3 linked regions of the Stegostoma tigrinum genome follow. Each later gene encodes a partner of the first gene's protein in a complex. Links are inferred from orthologs where the notes say so. Each region holds a gene or a part of one and is shown in the gene's direction. Other genes may lie near its edges.

Region 1 (7,976 bases):
ACAAACCTAGAACAGGCCATCACCACCGCCACAGGACCAGAACTAAGAAGACAGGCAAAGCTTAGGAAAAGGTGACCTAATTGGTCTTCCCCAAAGACAAGGACAACCACAAACCGGCCTCATGGGTAAGAAACCTATCCAACAGATGACTTACAAAAACTGAGAAAGCTGTTCTAATATTGGACTAAACTATAACCACTGGCATGCGAACAGAACAAAGTTCATGGCCACACTGGAAGCCATACTAAAAAACAATGGAATCACGGACAAAATTCAACAGACCATCTGACGAACTATAATCCCGGCATTGAACTGGAGGAATAATTGGGACACCCTAAACACATCAGAGAGAAAATCACTCAAAGAACTCAAGAATGACAGGAACATCTTAATCCTACCCGTGGACAAAGGGCATATGACTGCCATTATGAACGAACCAGGCGACATTGAAAAAGCACAGGCACTGCTTGCAGATACAGACACTTAGCGAGTTTTGAGAAGATTTATAGCTCAGGTTGAGGTTCTGGATGTGAGTTTGCTCGCTGAGCTGGAAGGTTAGTTTTCAGACATTTCGTCACCATTCTAGGTAACATCATCAATGAGCCTCTGACGAAGCGCTGGTGTTATGTCCCGCTTTCTATTTATCTGTTTAGGTTTCCTCAGGTTGGTGATGTCATTTCCTGCATTGGTGATGTCATTTTCTGTTCTTTTTCTCAGAGGATGGTAGATTGGCTCCAAGTCAATGTGTTTGTTGATGGAGTTCTGGTTGAACACTTACCAACAGGTGGAGAGAGACCCAACACTGCAGCTCAGAAATAGGATCACCCAAACACTGTTGAGACCAATGAATGCAGGAAAAATAACCAAGAAAGATGACATAAAAGTGAAACCAGAAGGCTCAAACACGCCCCCGGCTTATATTGACTCCTTAAACTACACAAACCAGATATCCCCCTCTGACCCATTGTCTCCTACTGGCCACACCTACAAATAGGTTCTCCAAGGACCTACAACAAAGACTGAAACATCTGGCTGATAGATCCCCCAACTCCACCTACTCAACCCAGGAATTCCTTAAAAAGGGCAAGAAAATCAAAATTGATGATGAGATTATGGTATCCTTTGAATTTACTGCGCTATTCCATACACTGGCCATGTTCGTAGGAGGAAACAGAAATGCTGAATGACAGCTCCATCAACAAGGACAACATTCTCAGAGTAATAGATAATAAAATGTGAGGCTGGATGAACACAGCAGGCCCAGCAGCATCTCAGGAGCACAAAAGCTGACGTTTCGGGCCTAGACCCTTCATCAGAGAGGGGGATGGGGTGAGGGTTCTGGAATAAATAGGGAGAGAGGGGGAGGCGGACCGAAGATGGAGAGAAAAGAAGATAGGTGGAGAGGAGAGTATAGGTGGGGAGGTAGGGAGGGGATAGGTCAGTCCAGGGAAGACGGACAGGTCAAGGAGGTGGGACCTGTCCCACAAACCCTTGCAAAAAAAAACCTGGAAATGACACAAAAACACCTCAACAGGCTGGATCATTTAAATACTAACTGGACTAGAACGACATCGCTTCATTGGAGGCCGCACTGATGATGTTTCCTAGCATGGTGACAAAACATTTGAACTATAACCAGCCAGCTTGGTGAGCAAGGTAACAACCTCATCCTACACAACCTTCCCACTCTTATAATCTATGCCATGACTGATAAAGGCAAGTGCCTGAGCTTTTTAACTACCCTAATTAACCTGTCTTGCCACCTTCAGCAATTTGTGGGCAAGCACCCCAGATTCCTTTGTTCCTCTGAAATTCCTAGTGTCCTACCATTCATTGAGTAATCCCTTGTCTTGTTACTTCTTCCAAAATGCATGACCTCACATTTAACAGGGTTAAATTCTATTGCTCCTTTTAACATACATTCATTATCTAAATTTGGGTACAGGAGGCAGTTTGCAGTGAGTTCAAAATTTAGAAACACAACGAACAATCAGAAGGGTAGTATGACACTTCAGGAAAATATAAATAAACTGGAAAATGTATTTCCAGCCTGCACATCTTTGAACTGTGGGAGGAAATGGGAGCACCTGGAGGAAATCCACGCAGACACGGGGAGAATGTGCAAACCCTACACAGGCGGTTGCCTGAGGGTGGAATCCAACCCAGATGCTAACCACTGAGCCGCCATGCTGCTCCACTTATCAGCATTTATTTACAGAGATAAACATTTCAAACTTGTACTTTCCAAGCCAATACTACAAAGTATTCCAGTTAATGCCTACTATCTGCATACAATTGGATACAACTAATCTATAACAACAATGGGAACAGTTTCCTCTTGTCTATTCCAACCTGACCCTTCATGATTTTGAATAATTCTGTCAAATCTCTTTTCAACCTTCAACCCAGGGAGAACAACCTTAGCCTATCCAATATGTACAATTAACTGAATTCTTCATAAGGATGTTTCCAGGGATAAGTGTCCTTTTCATTCTGTCTTAGACCTTCACATCTTTCCTTAATTGAGGTGCCCAGAACAGAACATAAAAGACCAGTTTTTAACATCTGGAATACACTGCCTGAAATAGTGGTGAAAAAAGATTGAATGTTAACTTTCAATTCTTAAAATGGAAAATAATGAAGCCCTTGAGAAGAGGAGTGAGTAGGATCAATTGGATAGTTCTTACAGATAGTCAGAGAGGCACAATGGTTGGAATGCCTCTGTGTGTGTTGTACCACACTTACAAGTTTTGTTGCCTCTGGCTTCAGAAGTCAACAGATTCCTCTCTATTTCTGGGCTGTGTTTGGAGGTGAATAGGATATCCTTGAAGAGCTGCCAAGTCAGCAATTTCAATATTTAGAAAGGGGCCTGATTGTTTAAGGCAAAAATTGTGGGTTAAATTTACAGACAGTACACAAATTTGACAAACTATGAGGAACTCATTAAAGTCAGTAATGCGAGAGAATAGGAAGGAATCAGTAATCAGTGAAACTGACATGTTGGAAACCCTTTAAATAGAGGTGAAGCCAACTGCTGCTGCCCAGTGTACTGGAAAAGCCAGACCTCACAGTTCTTGTTCAGATAGACTGGCTTCCTTTTGCTTCAAGGTTTTTGGAAGTCAGTTTACTTCTCTTGGATTCCACTCAACTTGCTCAGCATCAACCATCACTACACCATATGTAGCACTAGTTTGGATCTTGCTCTAAGATGAAGCAAAAGAGCAGAAACAGCCGTTTTCTCCTCAGCCATATGTTCCTCAGGACAGAGAGAATTTCCACATCTGGAAGAAGGTAAGACCCTCAATACAGAATCAGATTTTGCAGAACACCAGTGCCTCAGAAAGCTCAGGTTTTCACATATGGTCATGATGACACATCCTGTGCAATGGATCCAGTAGGCATACATTGCCGATGGCCATCAAGGCATTCTTCACTGAAGGGCTAGCCTCATCTTGACATCCCCCTGATGTTTTGTATTTGCTTCGCATTCAAGGACAGAAAAGAGCAATGTTTACTAGAAATGGATTGAAAGGAGAGGATGGAATAACAACAATGGTGGACTGGGATTGTGAGGCATGGAGCATGACAGCAATAAACTGAGAGTGAGCGGGAGTCTTAGCTGTTTTGATTGGGATGTGAAAAGATACATTGTCAGAGGAATGGGCAGAATTGGAAGGTGTGTTGTTCTGAGGATCCCATGAGGAGAATGCTGGGGAAGTGAGGAAAGTGGAGCTTGATACTTCAAAATGGATGATATTTTCCTTTCCTGCCCTTATGAAATTATTGAATCTGTTACTGCATAGTCTCCAGGATTGAGGAACCACATTCCTCGCTTCCTTGATCACTTCCATTGTTACGTGCTAAGTCCTCTTTTTCCCCACGTGCAGGAGTCAGTACTTTGGGGAAGAATCCAAATGCAGTGCAATATTCAGATTTGGTTTCCGGAGTCTCCCGTTAACCGCAATGTAGAAATCAGCCACACTGAGTACACTGGAGTCCCATTTAACTGCAGATCCTTCTTTTAACAGGAACAAGGACGTCGTCATTGCGTCTGATCTCCGAGGTTGTTCTGGAAAACGGGAAGCAGATTTTTAGTGCTGTGGCTGCAGTGAAAAGACACAGAAGATCCTGCCAAGCTTCCCTTCAGTGGCACCACCTCAGCATGCATTATACTACACACCAAATTGACGTGGAACTATAGCACAATTGCTTCAATACCATTGGGTCAGAGATTCTGGAACTCCTATCACAACAGCCCTGTGGAGCACCAACACAGATAATCTCCAACAATTCAAGGAGGTGATTCACCACTCAGGAGTAAGGATAGAAATCACAAGCCCTGATGCTGTTGCTCCAACTAGAGCCCTGAGTCCAGTTATTGGAGCTTAAAGGTGCCCTCCTCTCCTGGGCCAGATATTTTCTACAGCCTGACCACAGATGTTGACACACCTCTGGAGCAGGTGGGATTTGGAATTGGGCCTCCTGACCCACAGGTATAGGCATTACCGCTGCATGAGAAGAGCCCCAGTCCTCTCCTGGGCCATGTACCATTACTGTTTGAAGTGCAATGTGTAAGGACGGGCAAGAACCATTGTCATTGCCAGTAATGTGCACATCTTCAGAGTGAATAATACTGTTAAATATTGACACGCTACAACTGGCCCCACTCGGGTCAATTTTTGCTGTCTGTTCCCTTTCTCACCTTCAATAATTCCCTAATTAATACAATGGAAATATTCCAGGAAATGTCTTTGTTGGATCCCTCCTCTCCTGTAATTGTCTTGGAAGATGCATCTGCAACTTCCTGGAGAATGTAGACATTCGGAGACGGGGGGGGGGGTGGATCACCATCCCTAGTGACTGGTTTTCAATGAATTCTCCGCCAGCTGGAAGCATGGGTTGGTTGGGGTGGAGCTGTTCCAATTCTGGTGTCAACCCCCCGCATCACGTCGTATCACGGTGTAGCACATCAGCAGACACCCCGTGCCTGCAGCTTCAACAAGGGGCGGAAGTGTCTCTTTGGAGGGAGGCCTATGGAGTGTGTGCACCTTGTCGCGGTGACAGATGCCGGTGTGCAAAGCGGGTTAAAGCTGCTCGCTTTGCATTGAAGGCTGCCCCGGTCTGACGTAGTGAAAGCGCCTTTCGGGGGCTCTGTATGGAGAATGGCGGATGCAGAGTCCATGAACTCGCCGGCTGCCTCTCCCTTTCCGGGACTCCACATCAGCTCGCCTCCCAATTTCAGGTAAAGCAGAGGCACCACCAGCGCCGATTTCGAGTCGTGGCTTTTGTGCTGTCTGGCAATGTTTGATCTGAAATGCAATAGCTGATGAGCCAAGGAAGGAGGAGGAGGAGGAGGAGGAGGAAGGGACATCTTTTGAGCATTTAAAGGGGGTGGGAAAAGAGATACAGAAACAGCTAGGTCTGCGAGAGCAGACACCGGGAGCTCTTCTCCAAACCCCCCCCCCCCCCCACTGAATCGTGAGTAACACTGAGAATTGGGTTTAATTTTGATTTAATTGCAGATTGTTTGGGTATGCGCGTTTCTGATGGTGGCTGGAAGTGGCAGATTGTGTTTCAGGGCGTGGACAGCTCCCGGTTAGAATGGACCGGGAAGCAACGCTGGGGAAGGTTTTATTTTAAATGTGAGATCTTTTTCTTTAAGAAACATCTTCGGAAGTGTGTTTTCCCCGCGGAGATTACAATCCAAAATAACGTTTGGATCATCTTCCTTATTTTTTAAAAAAGCTGTTTATCTCACGTTTGTTAAACTGGATTCGGGACGGCCAGGTTATTTCGTGGGTTGATGAGTCAACCTCATGCATTTGTGAGTCTATTTGTAATGTAAACATGATGTAGATGTTGGGAAGTGCAGTGTTTAACTCGGGAAAGGACAGCTCGCCTGAAACAAACTATCAAATTGCGTGGTATTTGAATTTCAGCTCTGAAATGGTAATTAGGCTGTCTGCTTCTCTGGTCTGGAAAGATTGTGGATTGAAATCCCGTTCAGAAACTTGGGCGCAACATTTTGGTTGAGGTGCGCCCTTGGGATGAAGCGTTACTTCAACGTTCTGTGTGACCATAATGTGAATGCTTCTATTCGCGGGGTGGTGAAAAATACTGGGGACTCTTCCTTTTTCGCTACTGTTTATTTAGGGCCCAAATGAGATACACACTTTAAACACTTAAAACCTGATCTTCTGTTGTAGTTTGTGTGAATCAGCTTTGTAGGCTGCCATATTCCTGAGATTGCAACAGTGACTACCCTTCGTAAGCATTTCATGGTAGCTTCTGATTAATTCCACCTCTGAATCAGGTGGGACTTGAACCAGGCCTTCTGGTGCACACGACAGTACGCCACAAGAATCCTCTAGCATTTAGTTTTATTTTCTCTTAAAATCTGGAAGTGTTATTATACACACTCAACCTGCCCCATAAGCTTCTAATTGGCTGTCAAGTGATTAGTGATGGCTGAGGACCAGGAAAGGCACTATGTAAATGAAAGCCTATCATTATTAAATCAGATGTTGTACAATGACCCACGTTTTGCTCTTTTAATATGTGGGATTTTCTCACATCATCTTTCCAGTGTTTTTGTTCTGGTGAAATTACTTCCTGCTGTTTTGACCCTCCATGATTGATTTTCTATTGTTCCTGGAGGCATAAATATTCCTTTATTCTATAGAATTTCCCCAGAATATTTCAGTGATTGAGACGGTATCGTGGTTTCTATTATGTTTACTGGCAACTGGGACCATTACTCACTGGTATAAGGTATTTTCTATGAAATTTAGAAAACTGAGGGATGACCTGGTTGTGACCTTTGACAGGCATAAAGAAAATGCTGCCACTCGGAGGTTCCGTGAATGTGAGATAATCGCTGACAGTTCCAGATAAGAATTCCAGGGGAAATTTCTTCGCACTGAGATTGTGGCACTGCTACTGCATGGAGTGGTTTTAGTGAAGAGTGTAAATGCTTTTAAGAAGAAAGTGGAGAAATACAGGGAGAGGAAAGAAAAGAAAGTTATACAATGGAACAAGATTAAGTTGTGTCAATATAGTGTGGGAGCTGGATGAACACAGCAGGTCAGGCAGCATTAGGGGAGCAGAAGAGTTCATATTTTGGATCACCCTGATGAAGGGACCTGACCTGAAACATCGGCACTCCTGTTCCTCTGCTGCCTGACCTCCAGCTCCACGATGCATTGACTCTGAAAACAGCATCTGCAGTTCTTTCTGTCTAGAGTTGGAGGGAATTGATGTGACACACGAATAACAGCCTGGCACCAAAGAGATACATGGCCAGTTTCTTGGCTGTAAATTCCATTTAAAATTGCATCAATTGTAGGATTTCCCCCTCCAGCCCTAAAAACAAAGTCAGAGCTCAGTGCTCCTTCACTTCTGGCCTCTTAAACATTCTGTTTTTAATTGACTCACCAATGCTGTCTTCATAAGCTTTGAAATTCTCTCTTTAAACCTCTCTGCATCTGTTGCCTCCTTTTGAGACACGTTTAATACCACCTCCTTTAAATCTTTTGCTTACTTGACCTGTCTCGTCCAACAGTATGGTCAAATTTTAACTGATAAAGCTCCTGAGAAGGGATTTCTGGTGGTGTTTGGGGAATGTTATTGTGATTTCCATCTATATTATTTTTAATTTTTTTAAACCGGTATCACCAACAACTATAAGAGCTTTTATTTAAAGGGATAAGAATCATCTGTTTGTGGGACTACTGTAAGACGAGGTACAAATGGCAAGCCTTCCGTCTTTTCAATAGGGGAGAAACTCTGATACCTTGCCTGGTATGGCCTGGAGACTCCAGCCCCAAACTTATGGTTGGATCTTCCCTGCTGTCAGAAGCAGCTGAGCATGCCCCTTGTGACAAAGGTCTTGCACCTTCTCAAGCAATTGGCGGGTGATCGCTTCACTACCAGCCTGCAGTTTTGTAAAAGTTCGGTAAACGTCAACTTATATTTGT
Region 2 (8,037 bases), on another chromosome or scaffold:
AAATTATGATGTAGCCAATTATCTGCTGCCCTCATCATTTGACTTTGTAGAGTGTATGGGTTTGGAGGAATCCTGTGTGAGGAGTTTCAATTTATTCTGTAGATGTCGGTGGTGAAGGGCACAAGTTTTGAGATTCCAATCAAACAGACTGCTGTTTTCTGGATGGCAATGAGCTTTTTGAGTGTTGTTGGAATTACACTTAGCCAGGTAAGTGGGGAGTATTCCATCACATTCCTGATTTTTCCTTATAAATCATAGACAAGCAAGCCAGAATCAGGAGGTGAGTTATTTCCTGCTCCCAACATGCCATTTTCGCAACAGCAAATACATGACTGGTCCAATTCAGTTCATGGCCAATGGGGTAACCTTCTAGATGTTGGCAATGGGTGATCTAACAATGGTAGTGCCAGTGAATATCAAGGTGTGATTGTTAGATTTTCTCTGGCATTTGTTTGGCATAATTGTTACTAGTCATTTAATGGGGTATTGCCCAGGTCTTGCTGCATACAAACACAACCTGCTTGAGTGTTTGAAGAGATATGAATGGTGCTGAACATTGTGCCATCATCAGCAAACATCCCTACTTCTGACTTAATGATGGTGTGATCGTCATTGCTGAAGCTGCTGAAGCTAGTTAGGCCAAGCATACCATCCTGAGAACTCCTATGGCAATAGTTCACAGTTAAGATGATTGACATTCAATAGCCATAACAGTCTTCCTTTCAACTAAGCTAGGTTGCAAACAATAGAACAATTCCCCTCATACCCACTGATTCCAATTTTGCTCAGGGTACCTGATGCCGCAAATGTTCACATGATATTTTGATGTCAGGGACATTCACTCTCACTTGGCCCTTATGTTCTGTGATAATGGGAACTGCAGATGCTGGAGAATCCAAGATAACAAAGTGTGGAGCTGGATGAACACAGCAGGCCAAGCAGCATCTCAGGAGCACAAAAACTTATGTTTCGGGCCTAGACCCTTCATCAGCGAGCTCTGATGAAGGGTCTAGGCCCGGAACGTCAGCTTTTGTGCTCCTGAGATGCTGCTTGGCCTGCTGTGTTCACCCAGCTCCACACTTTGTTATCTTGGCCCTAATGTTCTGCTCTTTTATCCCTGACTGTAATGAAGTCAGGGGCTTAGTAGCCCTAGCAGAACTTAAACTGAACGTGAGTAAGCAGCTTCTAACTGAGCAAGTGCTGCCTGACAGTACTGTTGACAATATCTCTCACCACTTGGCTGAAGAATAAGTGTCAACTGATGGGGCATTTGTTGGTCATATTGGATTTATTCCATGTTTTTATGGATAAGATGTGTCATGTGTAATTTTTCACCTTATCAGATAGATGTCAGCATTGTAGCTATACTGGAACAGCTTAGCTGCAGGTGGCTTCAAGCTGAGTGCATTGTAGCTCAATTATATAATAGCTCCAAGAAGAAGCTGAGATAACAAGATAGGCCCAAAACGTCGGCTTTCCTGCTCCTCTGATGCTGCTTAGCCTGTTGTGTTCATCCAGCTCTATACCTTGTTATCTCAGATTCTCCAGCATCTGCAGTTCCTACTATCCGAGAAGAAACTATCTGATGTTCCAGTCTGTATGTTGAAGAACATGCATCTTAGATATCTAGGTGTAGGATATGCTTTGTGAGTATTGTAAAAGTAGTGTTTTAGGTGCCGTATCAGAGGTGTGTTTTGGGGTACCATATAAAAAACTGTTTTGTTTTGTTTTTCCTTTTCAATTTATGATGAAGTGTTTTGGGATTAAAAGGAATACACTTTTACTGTGTGTTTAAAACTCAGTGTTATAAGTAGGGGTTTGGTTTATTCTATTAGGTCTCAATTTCCTTTGTTGATAAACTTTTGGTTTATTGTTAAATCTGCAGCATTGTGTGAAGTGCTTTAGTGAGAGATTACTTCATTCAAACCCAAAACAAATCCAAATATGATCTGTCAATCCAACTTTCTTTCAGAGACCTGACTTATTCAGGAATAATATCAACTGGGATCATAACACTTTTTATATCAGTTGCTAGTTTATCCTCAAAGTTTATTTTCACACTTCTTTTAACATTTTTTTGGTCATAGAACTCTTCCTCCACTCTGAGATTTATCTTCGCTGCAAGTCATGAATTATTTTCTTAAGCATCTGCTATTGTTCATTAACTGTTTCTTTCTGCTGATCTCCCACAGTCTACTCCAACTGACTGTCCCCTCATTCCTTTGTACCCACCTTTCATACGATCATAGATTCATATTGTAGAGACAGTCCTTCAGCCCATTGAGTCTTATCACCAAAAACTATGATAAATTTAACAGTTATTTCTGACCCAGGTTTCCCACTCTCAAGCTGAATGTTAAACTCAGGTTGTTATGGTCATTGTTTCCTAAGACATCTTTTAGCCTGACACCACTTATTAAACTTACCTTGTCACACATTATCAGATTCAAAATAGCCAGATTTGATTAGCTTAATAATATATTGTTCTAGGAAGCTGCCCAAGTAACCTCAATGAATTCCTGCTAATGGCTATTTCTACCCATTTGATGCAATAAAGATTAAAGTCATCCATTATCTATATCTTTACTCTAATTCTTTTCTGTAGCCTCAATCTGACATTTTTTTGACAGGTTTGGTGATCTTCATAGCTCTATCTTCTTGTGCTTTCCTCCAGATGCACAGTAATATTCTCATAATTTCCACCATGTATTTATTTGCAGACACTGTTGCACCATGCCTCACCTGCTCAGTTAGAATATCCATGATGGTGAGGAAGAGGAAGTGTTTCAGCACTGGTCCTTGAGACAATTCAAGTTTGACCTGAAGTGCTCGTTCTCCCCCTCAATGCTTCTTACTTTTGCCCGGCACTCAACTATTCATGCGGGGAAACCATTACATGTTGCTGTTGATCCCAAGTTTGGATTTATGTGGAGGCTCAGTGACAGAAAGCACATCACCGTTTAACCCTGTGGCACAATCAAATGATAATTGAACTGAACGTGGAACATTAGAAATGAATCTAAAAGTGCAGAAAGATTGACTCCAGTTGTATCTTTCACCAGCTGGCTTTCTAGAATGGATCACTGATTAAATGATTTTGATTCCCTCTGTTTTGAACAAATAAAACTGAACCAGAGTCAAAATTACGGACAGAGAGTCTGGGGTAGGAAAATTGAACTGAGTCCAGGATTCAAAGAAACTGATGGAATGGACATACACCTTGCTAAAAGGTTTGTGGATGGATATTCCCTCGGAAGCTGCCATTATTTTGAAAAACAGTGGAACACTTTTTGTACAATTTTCTGTTCAGTGTTCAAAAGGTCAAGGAGCAGAAAATTTCTGCAGTATGCTTCCATATGCATCATTATCCCTTTAGTATCCCATGCAGTTGACTATTTTTATGTTTTAAAGTACCATGACTATTTCTGTTGAGTCATTGCAGCTACAGTGAATACTGTCCTTGCCAAACAATGAAACCTATTGGGGTTTGGAGTTTAGACTCTGGAATGCCCCAGGTTCCCTACCCCAAGTGTTCAAAATTGAAGAGCACTGAGCTCAATTATAATCATCTGAACTTCTGAGACTGGCTTGCATTAATTAGAAATAAACATAGGATTGTTAAAGTATTTGAATGTATTTCCTTGCAGGGCTGAGAAAGCTGGAACGCATTTGTCATTGTTTATGTGCTTCTGTCACAGTTTCTTGATTTTAAGAATTGATTCAGATAGAACAAGATGCTGGTATTTATGAAGCAGCCCATCTCATTTGATCAACTGATTTTCTTCATTGCCTCAGACTTCATTGAGGTCAGGGGTAAGATTTTGACACGCCGTCCATGTTCAACATAAAGTTGAAGTTAGGTCACAAATCAGCCTTGATTTAATTGAATGGTGAAACAGACTGGAGGAGCTAAAGAACTTACTCCCATTCCGATTTTTCCTGACAGTGGGTGATACAAACTACAAAGAGCAAAATGCAAATCTATCACTTCATTTAATTAAATCCATTTTTTTTTCTATAAATACGTTTCTTTCATTTTCTGTGGTCTTCTTCAGGTTACTTTTCTTTTGGCTAAATCTTTGGCTTTTGATCTTGAATCCTGGTTAAAGCTGCTATGTAGAACAAAGAGCAACACAAACAGCAAACTTACCATAGGTTGGACTAACTATGTAACAAAGTCAAGCAGACCTATGCTGTTTGATGAGCGCTATTCAATTCACTATTTCTTTTCAGAGGTTGATTTTGTGCCTATTTGTCACAAATGTTCAACATTACTGTTGGATGATTAAATCCTTGTGTATGCTTTAACAATGACCTTGCACACTTCTCATGTAAGCAATGGATTCATGTTTTAAATGTAGTTCCTCGTGAATGTTCAAAATTTCCCACACCAATAACAAACCATGAAGGGGAAATGGTAAGTTCATGACAGAAATGAAATGTTGGCTGTGTCCATTGTTATTTTAAAAGAGCATTACCATTAAGATGGAATTGTAGATGGTGCTTTTATTCAAAGGCATTTTACCAGGTTGACAAAGTGGAAATTTCTCAGAGCTTGGCTGAGGACGGGAAGGGTATGATGTGGGGAGAGACTGACGGAATAATAGAAAGTGAGGATAAAAAAGGGAGAGAGACAGAGAGAAAAAGAGAATAATAAACAAAAAACGATAAATGCAAAATTGGAGAGACAGAATGGGAAAAGACAAGAGGGATAAAAACAGAAAGTGAAAACTGCGAAGGTGGAGAGACAGAATGGGAAAAGACAAGAGGGATAAAAACAGAAAGTGAAAACTGCGAAGGTGGAGGGACAGAATGGGAAAATAAAAGAGGAACATTATTGGCTGCTGGTCCCCCCCCCCAACCCCGGCGCCGGCTCTGATCAGGCTGGAATCGAGTGACAGTGCGCGTTCACTCGCTCTGCCGCTGGGCGACGGACACGCGCCTGACTACTGTCGGGGGCGCGCACGCTCGGTTGACGTAGTTTTATTTTGCGCAGTCGGTGAGCGGGGCCGCTGTCGGTGGATCTGTTGCTGGGTTTTTGTCTGTGTCCGGCGCCGGAACGGGTGAGGATATGGGGACAAACAGGGGGGTAGGGGATATGGGTAGGGGATAGGCGGTAGGCGGTATGCGGTATGGAGACAAACAGAGGTAGGAGGTAGGGGGTAGGGGGTAGGGGGTAGGGGGTAGGGGGTAAGAGACAAGGGACAAGGGACGAACAGTTGGGGAGGGGTTAGGGGACAAAAACTGGGGTAGGGTCAAACAGTGGGGTGGGGGGTAAGGGGCAGACAGTGGGGGAGGGGATATGGGGAAAACACTGGGGTAGGGGACAAACAGTGGAGGGGGGTTTGGGGAGGAGGACAAGCACTGGGGGAGGGTTTTGGGTCAATCACTGGGATTGGGGGTAGGGAACAGGGGGACAAACAGTGGGGTATGGGGACAGGTGTAGGGAACAGGGGGACAAACAGTGGGGTATGGGGACAGGTGTAGGGAACAGGGGGACAAACAGTGGGGTATGGGGACAGGTGTAGGGAACAGGGGGACAAACAGTGGGGTATGGGGACAGGTGTAGGGAACAGGGGGACAAACAGTGGGGTATGGGGACAGGTGTAGGGAACAGGGGGACAAACAGTGGGGTATGGGGACAGGTGTAGGGAACAGGGGGACAAACAGTGGGGTATGGGGACAGGTGTAGGGAACAGGGGGACAAACAGTGGGGTATGGGGACAGGTGTAGGGAACAGGGGGACAAACAGTGGGGTATGGGGACAGGTGTAGGGAACAGGGGGACAAACAGTGGGGTATGGGGACAGGTGTAGGGAACAGGGGGACAAACAGTGGGGTATGGGGACAGGTGTAGGGAACAGGGGGACAAACAGTGGGGTATGGGGACGGGGGACAAACAGTGGGGTATGGGGACGGGGGACAAACAGTGGGGTATGGGGACGGGGGACAAACACTGGGGTATGGGGACAGGTGTAGGGGACGGGGGACAAACACTGGGGTATGGGGAGGTTTTGAGGTCGCAACGGTGAGATGGAAGGGTTTAACGGTTAGAGGAGGTGAGGGACAGAAGGAGAGCGAAGCAGAGGTAGTTGGTGGGGCACAAGGTCTGGTGGTGAAAGACTGAGGGAGGTTGTGGGCAGCAAGGGGGGGGACTCTGTTTTACAGCTACAATTCGACGGCACCCTTGGTGGCGGGGGGGGGTGGTGTTGTGTGTTTTAAATACCCCCTTCCCTGGGCCTTGTGATTGTATGTTTAAACGCCCTGTCCTTGAGGCAGTGTAACTCCTTCCCCCACACAGCAGCTTATCTCCTGCTGCTTTGTCAGAAGTCTCCTATCCGGGTCTGCCAGGAGAGACACTGTCGATATTTCCCACTTAACATGCTGAGGGAGATGTAATGACACCTCTGGAGCAGGTGGGTTTTGAAAGGTAGGGACTTGGATGAAACCCATGTTTTAAGTCTGTCTCTACAGCTGGTTTATCCTGGAACAGGGCTCTGGCCTCTTCCCAGTGGGCTGTGGGCTCCACTCTGCAGTCAGTCTAACTAGGTGACTCCCAGCTTGACATTCCCCAAACCCTTTTTTCCCTGTTGATAGAATTCACAGTTTGATGTTTTGACCACATAAGCTGTCAAGTGGTACTCGATTTGGATCTTTTGACTCAGAGTCGAAGGGGTTCTCTGCCCAACACAACACTCTCCCTTAACCCTGTCCCACAGCGGTCATCTTTTTCTGTCTTGCTTAGCCCCTACTCTCCCCATATATTTCCTGTCACGTCTCTTCTTTCTCCCCCCCCCATGTGTCTCTGGTTTTGTCTTGTGTAAATACCACAGACATCCTCCCGCCACCAGCTGGGACTCCCCCCCCGGGACCTCCTGCACGTCCAGAGGACTCATTTAGTTTTGTCTGCTGGATCCCATCCCTCTGTGTTGGTTGCACCGTATATTTTACTCTGTGGACCGACTGTGAGAACTACCCTCAGTCCAACCAGCTTTCTACCTCAGGGCCAACAAGAGGCTCTTCAGGCACTCTCCAAGGACAAGAGCGGGAGTGATCATCCCCTTTTCATACAAATTGTGCGTAATTTTGTTTTTGCTTTTATTTCAATCCTGCTCCTACATGTGCAGGCCATTGCGAAATCCCGGATTTAATCAGTTGACTTGCAGTTTGGTGTTTGTTTGGGAGTTCTGTGCCTTTCTGTCTGTATTCTGACAGACTTTTCTCTGGTAATTGTGCCTCGCTGTATCTGCGGCGCTGGCTCTATCGGTTTGAGATTCTTTTGTTTGCTATGAAATACCCCATCACTTGCGATCTGAAGGGGAGGTGGGGAGATCGACACCCTCTTCGATTCAAACATGTTTTAGAAGTTTATTTCGGTGCCCAGGTAATTGTCATTCTCCGGTGTCGACCCAGTCTTCGGGAAATGTGGTATTGTAAACGCTTTGGAACTAGGGTCTGGCTGTATCCATAATTGCAGAGAAAATCGCCGGCGTTCTATTTATAGCATGCACTTATGTTCTTTAACACTTGGCGGATTTTATTTCAAATCCTTTCTTGGTCGACATGCAGATGCAAATTGTGTTATTGATAAAGGCTGACCTGCAAAATACACTTTAAATATCAGCGTAAAACACGTTTGAATGATCGTATTTGAGCCACGCGAGCCCCTCATTTCTCTTCACCCCCCCCCCCATCTCCTCCCCATTCCTTTGTTTGCGGGATTCAGTGTTTCACGCAATCACTAATACAAGAGACTTGCATCCTTGTTCAGGTTGTGTTGTTGGAGAAATGGTGAAAAGGTCGTGTTTTTCAGGGAGCTGAGCTTTCAGCTGCTGGTTCCTACGTTGAAAGGTTCTGTCTTTTAATTGAATTGCAATTCTTTACCGTTTTTGACTTTCTGAAATTGCAGTCAAATTTGGGATAATGCTGTCTTCTCTAGTTTAATGGTATTTTTCTTAAGATAAGTACAATTGAACTCAACAGTTACATTTTATGTAGCTTGAAGTCCCTGTTCAGCGACTTCATAATTATACAGCAT
Region 3 (7,232 bases), on another chromosome or scaffold:
AAGTACAGTTAGTACATTTAAAAGACATTTGGACAGGTACATAAATAGGAAAAGTTTAGAGCGATGAGGCCCAAAGGCAGTCTTGAGACTAGTTTGGGAAACTTGATCGGCATGGACAAGTTGGACTAAAGGGTCTTTCTCTGTGCTGTATGACTCTATGACTCGAGGTAGACAAAATGGAGGATTGAGAGCAATCATCTGATGTTGAGAATGAAGACATTTGCCCGGAGGGTCATCTAAGAGACCAAGATGGAGCTATGCACCATAGTGTGTTAAAAGCCTGACAGAATCCCTTTCAAACCTACTTTCAGGTGGGATGTGCTAGGATTTCACTTCCTCCCATTCCTTCTCTTGTGTTACTTACTGTTGGTTCAATGGAAATTCCCTGTGGAGCTGACTATTTCCACATTCCTGGAGCTTTTCATTTGATGCACACATATTTTGTTATCCATATGACTGTATACATGGTATCTTTAGCTGTTCCCATTTTAAAGAGTTCTCCCTGCTGTTTGGGAGACAGCAGTGGTCAGTGAGACAGGGCAGTACTGGTACTGAGGTTAGGGGGGCATGAAGGCTTTAACCATGATGTGGAATTTGAATGTTGTGCATTCTGGGCCATCTTGATAAGCACCAGGTTGGGGACAATCATGAGGCACCTCTCTTGCACTATTTTATCCCTGGTTAACCTTCAATGGTACAAAGTGTAGACAGACACTGCAGTGTAGTGCTTGAGCAGCCTTTAAGACTGTGTTTAACTTGAGAGGAACAATGTTTTGTACAGCTCTTTTCAACAGGCCATTGACCTATGAGAGTGAGTGGAGTACATGGAATGGGTGTCTTATAAGGAAAGGGTGGACAGGCTAGGCTTCTATTTACTACAGCCTAGAAGGGTAAAAGGCCACTTGATTAAAACACGCAAGATCCTTGGAGGTTCGTGACAGGCTTGATGTGGGAAGGACGTTTCCTCCTGTGGGAGAATCTAGAGCTAGGGGCCATATCTTAAAAAGAAAGGGTTGTCCATTTAAGTTAGAGATAAAGTAGAACCTTTTCTCCTCAAATGATTACAAGTCTTTGGAATTCTCTTCCTCAAAAAGATGGTAGGAGCACAGTTTGTGAATATTTTTAAGTCAGAGGTAGACATGTTTGTGGTAAGCAAGGTAGTGGAATGTTATTGAACGTAGGCAAGAATGTTGTGTTGAAGTTATAATTTGATCAATCATGATCATACTGAATGACAGAACATACCTGGGGGGCTAAGAGCTACTCAGCCATTACTTGATATCATGTGGAATAAATCATTTGGGCTGAATGCTGGAAACTGTGATGCTGGGGATCTTCGGAAGATGTTGAGATGAATGTAACACTCAGCACTTTTGCAGCTGTACAAAACTCTGGTGCGGCCACACTTGAAGTATTGCGTACAGTTTTGGTCGCCGCATTATAGGAAGGATGTGGAAGCATTGGAAAGGGTGCAGAGGAGATTTACCAGGATGTTGCCTGGTATGGAGGGAAGATCTTATGAGGAAAGGCTGAGGGACTTGAGGCTGTTTTCGTTAGAGAGAAGGTGGTTAAGAGGTGACCTAATAGAGACATACAAGATGATCAGAGGATTAGATAGGGTGGAGAGTGAGAGCTTTTTTTCTCAGATGGAGACAGCTCGCACGAGGGGACGTAGCTTTAAATTGAGGGGCGATAGATATAGGACAGAAGTCAGAGATAGGTTCTTTACTCAGAGAGTAGTAAGGGCATGGAATGCCCTGCCTGCAGCAGTAGTAGACTCGCCAAGTTTAAGGGCATTTAAATGATCATTGGATAAACATATGGGTAATAATGGAATAGTGTAAGTTAGATGGGCTTCAGTTTGGTTTCACAGGTCGGCACAACATTGAGGGCTGAAGAACCTGTACTGCACTGTAGTGTTCTATGTTCTATGAAGATACTTCAGACTTGTTGTTTGCACAGATATGCTGGGCTCCTCCATCATTGAGGATTGGGATGTTTATAGAGCCTATTCCTTCTCATGTTCATTGTTTAATTTTCTATCCCTACTCATGACTGGATGTAGTGAGACTTCAGAGCTTAGATCTGATGCACCGGTTGTGGGATTTCTTTAGCTCTTTCTATTGCGTGTTGCTTCTTTGGTGGCAAGCAAATTGTCTGAAGTAGCTTCACTATATTGGTGCCTGATGCTGTTCCTGGCATAACCCACTGCACTCTTCAATGAACTAAGGTTGATCTCCCTGCTTAATGGTAATGGTAGAGTGGAATATATGCTGGGCCATGAGGTTATCGATTGTGATTGAATAAAATTTTGTTGCTGCTAGTCAAAGCACCTCTTGATACCAAGTTTTGTGTTGCTAGATCTATTTAAAATCTATTACTTGCTTTAGCACAGTGGTAGTGCCTCACAATACAATGGTGAATAGCCTCAATATGAAGATCTCTACAAGGACTGTATGATTGTGACTCAAATACAAACTCTATCATGATTGGATGCATCTATAACAGATAATTTGTGAGATGATGCCAAGTAAATTTTTCTCTCATTGGTTCTTCAATCACTTGCATCAGAACCAGTTTAGCAATTAGGTCCTTTACGGTTCAACTAGCTATGGCACAGGAACCACTAACATCCACTCAGTAGCAGGTATGCGTACTACTGGACAATGATGGACCATTTTGTGCCTTTACCACCCTCAGCGCATCTTCAAATTAATTCTCAACAAGGAGGAGTACTGATTTATCAGCTAAAGTAGAACAACATGTGACAATCAGTAGGATATTTCCTTCCCCATGTTTGATCTAAGATTATAGCACCATAACAAATAGGAACAGGAGTAGGCTGTTCAGGGGTTCGAGCCTGAATCACTATTCAATGGCATCATGGCTGATGTGACACACCTTGGGTCCATTCTCCTGCCTTTTTCCCAAACGTCTTGATTCCCCTCCTGATCAAAAATCTATCTCAGCCCTAAATATACCCAAAGAATCTGATGCCATGAGATTTCCAGGGATCTGAAATCAATGTTGATGGCACCGGGACAACTCCATATCAAAGACAGTGCCTCCACTTTGAAGCCCTTCCCTTCCATTCCAGCTTTCAAGCTATAATGGACTAGATCTCAACTGGATGGCTCAGCCTCACTCATAAATAAATGTGATTTTCCCTCTCAGGTAGCGGCTGATACCCATCCAGCTTACAAGCAACATTCTCAACATGCTTCTGGAACTTTGGAGACTCACAGTATTTCTACTTTTAGCACACAGCTTGCTGCCATTGCTTCCAAACTATATTCACCTGCACCTTGTTCCCAGTAAAATAAACTGTTTCTTTTAATCTTTAACAGTCAAACCACGTGCCAGGCTTGCTGTCAGGCACATTTTGGAACAGGTCACATGATCCCATTCATTTTTGCCTTAAAGGCACTGTCTCACGATATAATAATCTTATAAACTTCAGAGTGGTAACTATATACTAATCTGATTGGGTAACGAATATTCCAGTGATCCGTAAAATAATGAATTTTAATTTGGTAGAAACTAACAGCAACAATAATTGAATCGGCTGGTGTTCTCAAGGTAAACACAATACTAATGCAGTTATAAGACAGCGGGAGAATCCTCAAATAGTTAAAGTTGGTTGTGTGAGAATGAGAAAAATGTTTGTGGATGTGTATGTGCGTGTACAGGTAGGGAGAAGCCTCTTCCTCCTTGTTGTACAAGAATATTGTATAACGATTATGTTGAATTACACAAAATAATAACATTTTATTTTAATATATTAAAATTTTTGTACTGGTAATTGTACCTTTGTGCACTGTATGAATATTTATTGTGAACGAAAGTATTCTCCAACTGTACTTTGGTAACAAAATTATTATTCTGCGCATTTTCAAAACTAGTACAGTAGGCAACATTTGGCTGGAGATGCCTCAGTGCACTCTCTGTATTAATTGCTTGCTACGGCTATATAATTCGTGTGTTAAGTGCAGGTCTATGGGATAAACTGTTTTGTACTGGGTTCTAAATAAGTCATTACGGAAGCATATGGAGATACTGTCAGATTTAAAAGTCTCTCCCCCTACCCCAGACCTTCTGCGAGCTTTGACGTCATGTGTGCTCCTTTCAGTTGCCATAGAAACTTATTCCCCAGGCTCTCTGTCTGTCTCATCTGGTAGGTTCCACACTGGTACAGGCAGCATTGACTGCACAATGGTTTAACACGGGTGATGGCGGTGATTCAGCAATCTCTCCCTCCTCTCCAGCAGCTCTCTTCTCTCTCTCCTCCTCCTCCTTTCCAGGCATCCTCTCCGATCCATTGTGCATCTTTTGTGTTTCATTCTTCTTTTGCGAAAAGCAAAATGGTTTGAATCCGGATTGCAGTGGGGGGGACTGTTACCATACCAGGATTCTCTTCAGTTGGCACGGCATGGTAGGTGGTTGATACTGATGCAGTGTGCTAACCTGTTAAGGGTGGGGTGATGAATATTGATTTCAGCAAAGGTTAATGAAGTAGACCGCTAGAATTGCATGAGGAAAGCATCCCAGCAAGTGGCAGCTGGATGTAGCCTTTTTCCTCGTATTGATATGCATCCATCCGGTAACTTACTGTCATTAGAGAATGCAAAGTACATGAGTAAAATAATGCTTAAGGCTTGATGTAGTGCATGTAAATTACTGTTTAGTTAATGTTTGAAAGAGAAAACTTGAGGAATTTGATAAAAGTGAAATGAATATTTTGCAAATAGTCGGCAAGAAACATTTTACACCTTTCTAGCCTTATAGCTTGTCATATACATATACATGTAAACAACGAATTGTTTTAAAATGAATTTAGTGATGAATTAGCAAGTTTTGATATCAGTGAATCGGTTTCGGATCATTGGGGTTAATTGATTGTCTTTCAGCCTGTTCGAAGTGATAGAAATCTGGGGTCATGATTTCTGCTTTGATTCACGCATCTAATTAATCTTGTGAAGAGATTCAGCATCGGCTGAAAGAAGGATTGGAAGTGTTTTGTTCTGGCCATTCATCAGTATTGTCTGCTTGATAACATTACAAGGATCTGTAAAGGGTCACTGAACATTTATTTTTCTGACTCCGTTTGACAAAATGAGTATTCTGATCATTTTCTTGATCACATTATTTCACAATACTGTGTTACTTGCCAATTTCGCTTTAAAATTGTCTGTAAGGATAGAACGATAGAGAGGCACAAACTACCTGGGGTGCATTCTTGATTATTGCCGAGGAAGGCGTTTTATACAGTGAGGGTGTTGGTGACTTCTCTGTGTGAGAATCTCTGGAGAGAAAGGTATATGCAAATATTGCAAATGATTATGACCAAATATGGATATACACCTAGCTTGTTTAGCAAATGTGATGGCGTCTTTTTGCACAGATACAACATAAGTCTTTGTGCTCAGTTTTAAAATATAAGCTATGCAGTTCTTGCACATTTGATATTCAGAGCTGGAAATCTATTTCTCCTCTTTTCTTTAAATGAAATAATTGTGGTTAATTAGAGGAGTGGTCATGTCCTGGTATATACAAATGACGTAGAAAATACATTGAATGCCTCTGCTGTAACCTAAAGTTAAGAACACTGAGCCATTTTAGACGGCTTCGATATGATTTAATTTCTGCATATACATGGAAAGCATAGATTTTCATATTTACTTACAGGAGAACATTGTTGGTCTTCAGAAAAAAACAGTGCATGAGAATCAGAAAACAAAAACTTTAAAAATGTAAATCAGAAACATATTTGTTTATTTTAAGTGGATCTTGAATATTTTTCTGTCTTATTTTATGTAACAAATAATTAGATGCTATAGAGTTAATGGTGTAATTTGATGTAAGCATACTACTGCAGTGTATTTACCTTTAAATACTGCAGTCAAATTCAGAATCCTTGTCTTATAGCAATATTAAACAGTTCCTTAAACTTATTTTCATATTCATCCTATGGAGAATAGTGTGAATTTGGGGAAACAACTCAGTCACTGATTAATAGACCATAGCTTATGGCATTTTATTGACATTTTATGTCAATACTTTTTTCATACTAGCTGGCTGAATGATTTTCTAGGCTCCCAACTGATACAATGAGTTAAAGATAGGAAAGGGGGTGGATGACCATCTGACTTCATTATTTAAAATTGCCCCCTTGCATACGATTGGACTTGGAGCTTTGGTTTCAGCTCTATTGAATGGCCTGGAGTGGGCTTTTCATGGAATACCACCATTTAGACAAAGTTATATTTGGACAAGATTAATAAATAATATAGAAATTAAAAATTGCCAAAGAAAAATCAGTTTCACATGATCAATTTCTACAATCACATTGTCAGAGTATGATATCATTCTTAAAGAGAACTGTGACTGTAACGATTGTGATTTTGCCTGTTTCAGTTGTGCTGGAACAGATGTCACCTACTCTTCATTGTCATTACTGTATTTTAATAAAAGGTGACATTAATTTTTTTAACAATCTGTTCTGGCAGAAAAACAGCTTTCAAGAAATTTAGGTGCATTGCCTTTTTGAACATCTTCACATGTTTGAATAGATAGATGTTGAAACAAATATGAAGTTAGGAATCAGAAACGTTAATTATAAAGACCACAGTTTAGTTTTCTGCAAGAGGCACATTTTTGCCAATAGCTGAAGATGCCAGTGACAAGTTCTGTCAATTAATCAGAAATCAAGTCATGTAGCACCATATTTGGTACTAAATGCGCCTCCTTGCTACACACATTTCCAGATATGGGCAGATGGTAGGATGCCTACTCAGATAACTGGTTGGAAGGATAACATTCAACAGCCTGGAAACTGTAGAGGTACTGACAGTAGTTGAGAATGCTTTAACTATAGAATAATGTATGTAAGCTTGGGCCTTGCACTGCTTGTTGGATCAAATTCTGATTCATAATGTCCCCTGCACACAGCTTGCAATTTGCTGAACTAGTGCAACATTATGTGGTGCTACTTTGACGCCTATATTTACCTGAATGTGGAGATGAGGTGACCAACCCTGTTTGGATTAATTTCTCAATTAGCCTTGTTCCCACTTCCTCACCATTGATCATCTGCCATATCCGTCACACAGGAAATCTGCTTGACATCAAGATTACATTTGATTGAGTGTGCCATCAAAGAGCCTTAGCAATACTCGAGTGAATGGAATCGGGGGAAACTCTCCATTGGTTGAAGTCATACCTGGCACAAAGGA

The links. Proteins that work in one complex are often made in the same cells at the same time.
Region 2: the proteins of mapk8ip1b (region 1) and mapk8a are in contact, whole or in part, in a crystal structure (PDB 3VUM), measured with the Homo sapiens proteins. The link is inferred for Stegostoma tigrinum from reciprocal best matches to the Homo sapiens genes MAPK8IP1 and MAPK8. Residues at the interface, in NP_005447.1 of Homo sapiens: Arg157, Pro158, Lys159, Arg160, Pro161, Thr162, Thr163, Leu164, Asn165, Leu166; in NP_001310257.1 of Homo sapiens: Lys83, Asp112, Ala113, Gln117, Val118, Met121, Leu123, Glu126, Arg127, Tyr130, Tyr133, Val159, Lys160, Ser161, Asp162, His286, Val323, Trp324, Asp326, Glu329.
Region 3: the proteins of mapk8ip1b (region 1) and mapk10 are in contact, whole or in part, in a crystal structure (PDB 3PTG), measured with the Homo sapiens proteins. The link is inferred for Stegostoma tigrinum from reciprocal best matches to the Homo sapiens genes MAPK8IP1 and MAPK10. Residues at the interface, in NP_005447.1 of Homo sapiens: Pro158, Lys159, Arg160, Pro161, Thr162, Thr163, Leu164, Asn165, Leu166; in NP_620448.1 of Homo sapiens: Asp150, Ala151, Gln155, Val156, Met159, Leu161, Glu164, Arg165, Tyr168, Leu169, Tyr171, Val197, Lys198, Ser199, Asp200, Cys201, Trp362, Asp364, Glu367.

What each region holds. Positions count from the first base shown.
Region 1 is NC_081370.1:40,883,047-40,891,022, forward strand, and holds the start of mapk8ip1b (C-Jun-amino-terminal kinase-interacting protein 1), read left to right. Parts: upstream 1-4,953; 5' UTR 4,954-5,162; coding exon 5,163-5,242; intron 5,243-5,532; exon of another isoform or gene 5,533-5,640; coding exon of another isoform or gene 5,641-5,642; intron 5,643-5,722; exon of another isoform or gene 5,723-5,816; coding exon of another isoform or gene 5,817-5,824; intron 5,825-7,976. UniProt on the Homo sapiens protein: The JNK-interacting protein (JIP) group of scaffold proteins selectively mediates JNK signaling by aggregating specific components of the MAPK cascade to form a functional JNK signaling module. Required for JNK activation in response to excitotoxic stress.
Region 2 is NC_081390.1:9,551,399-9,559,435, forward strand, and holds the start of mapk8a (mitogen-activated protein kinase 8), read left to right. Parts: upstream 1-4,950; 5' UTR 4,951-5,063; intron 5,064-6,342; exon of another isoform or gene 6,343-6,415; intron 6,416-6,923; exon of another isoform or gene 6,924-7,075; intron 7,076-7,214; exon of another isoform or gene 7,215-7,383; intron 7,384-8,037. UniProt on the Homo sapiens protein: Serine/threonine-protein kinase involved in various processes such as cell proliferation, differentiation, migration, transformation and programmed cell death.
Region 3 is NC_081354.1:75,132,169-75,139,400, reverse strand, and holds the start of mapk10 (mitogen-activated protein kinase 10), read left to right. Parts: upstream 1-4,145; 5' UTR 4,146-4,429; coding exon 4,430-4,432; intron 4,433-4,579; exon of another isoform or gene 4,580-4,600; intron 4,601-7,232. UniProt on the Homo sapiens protein: Serine/threonine-protein kinase involved in various processes such as neuronal proliferation, differentiation, migration and programmed cell death.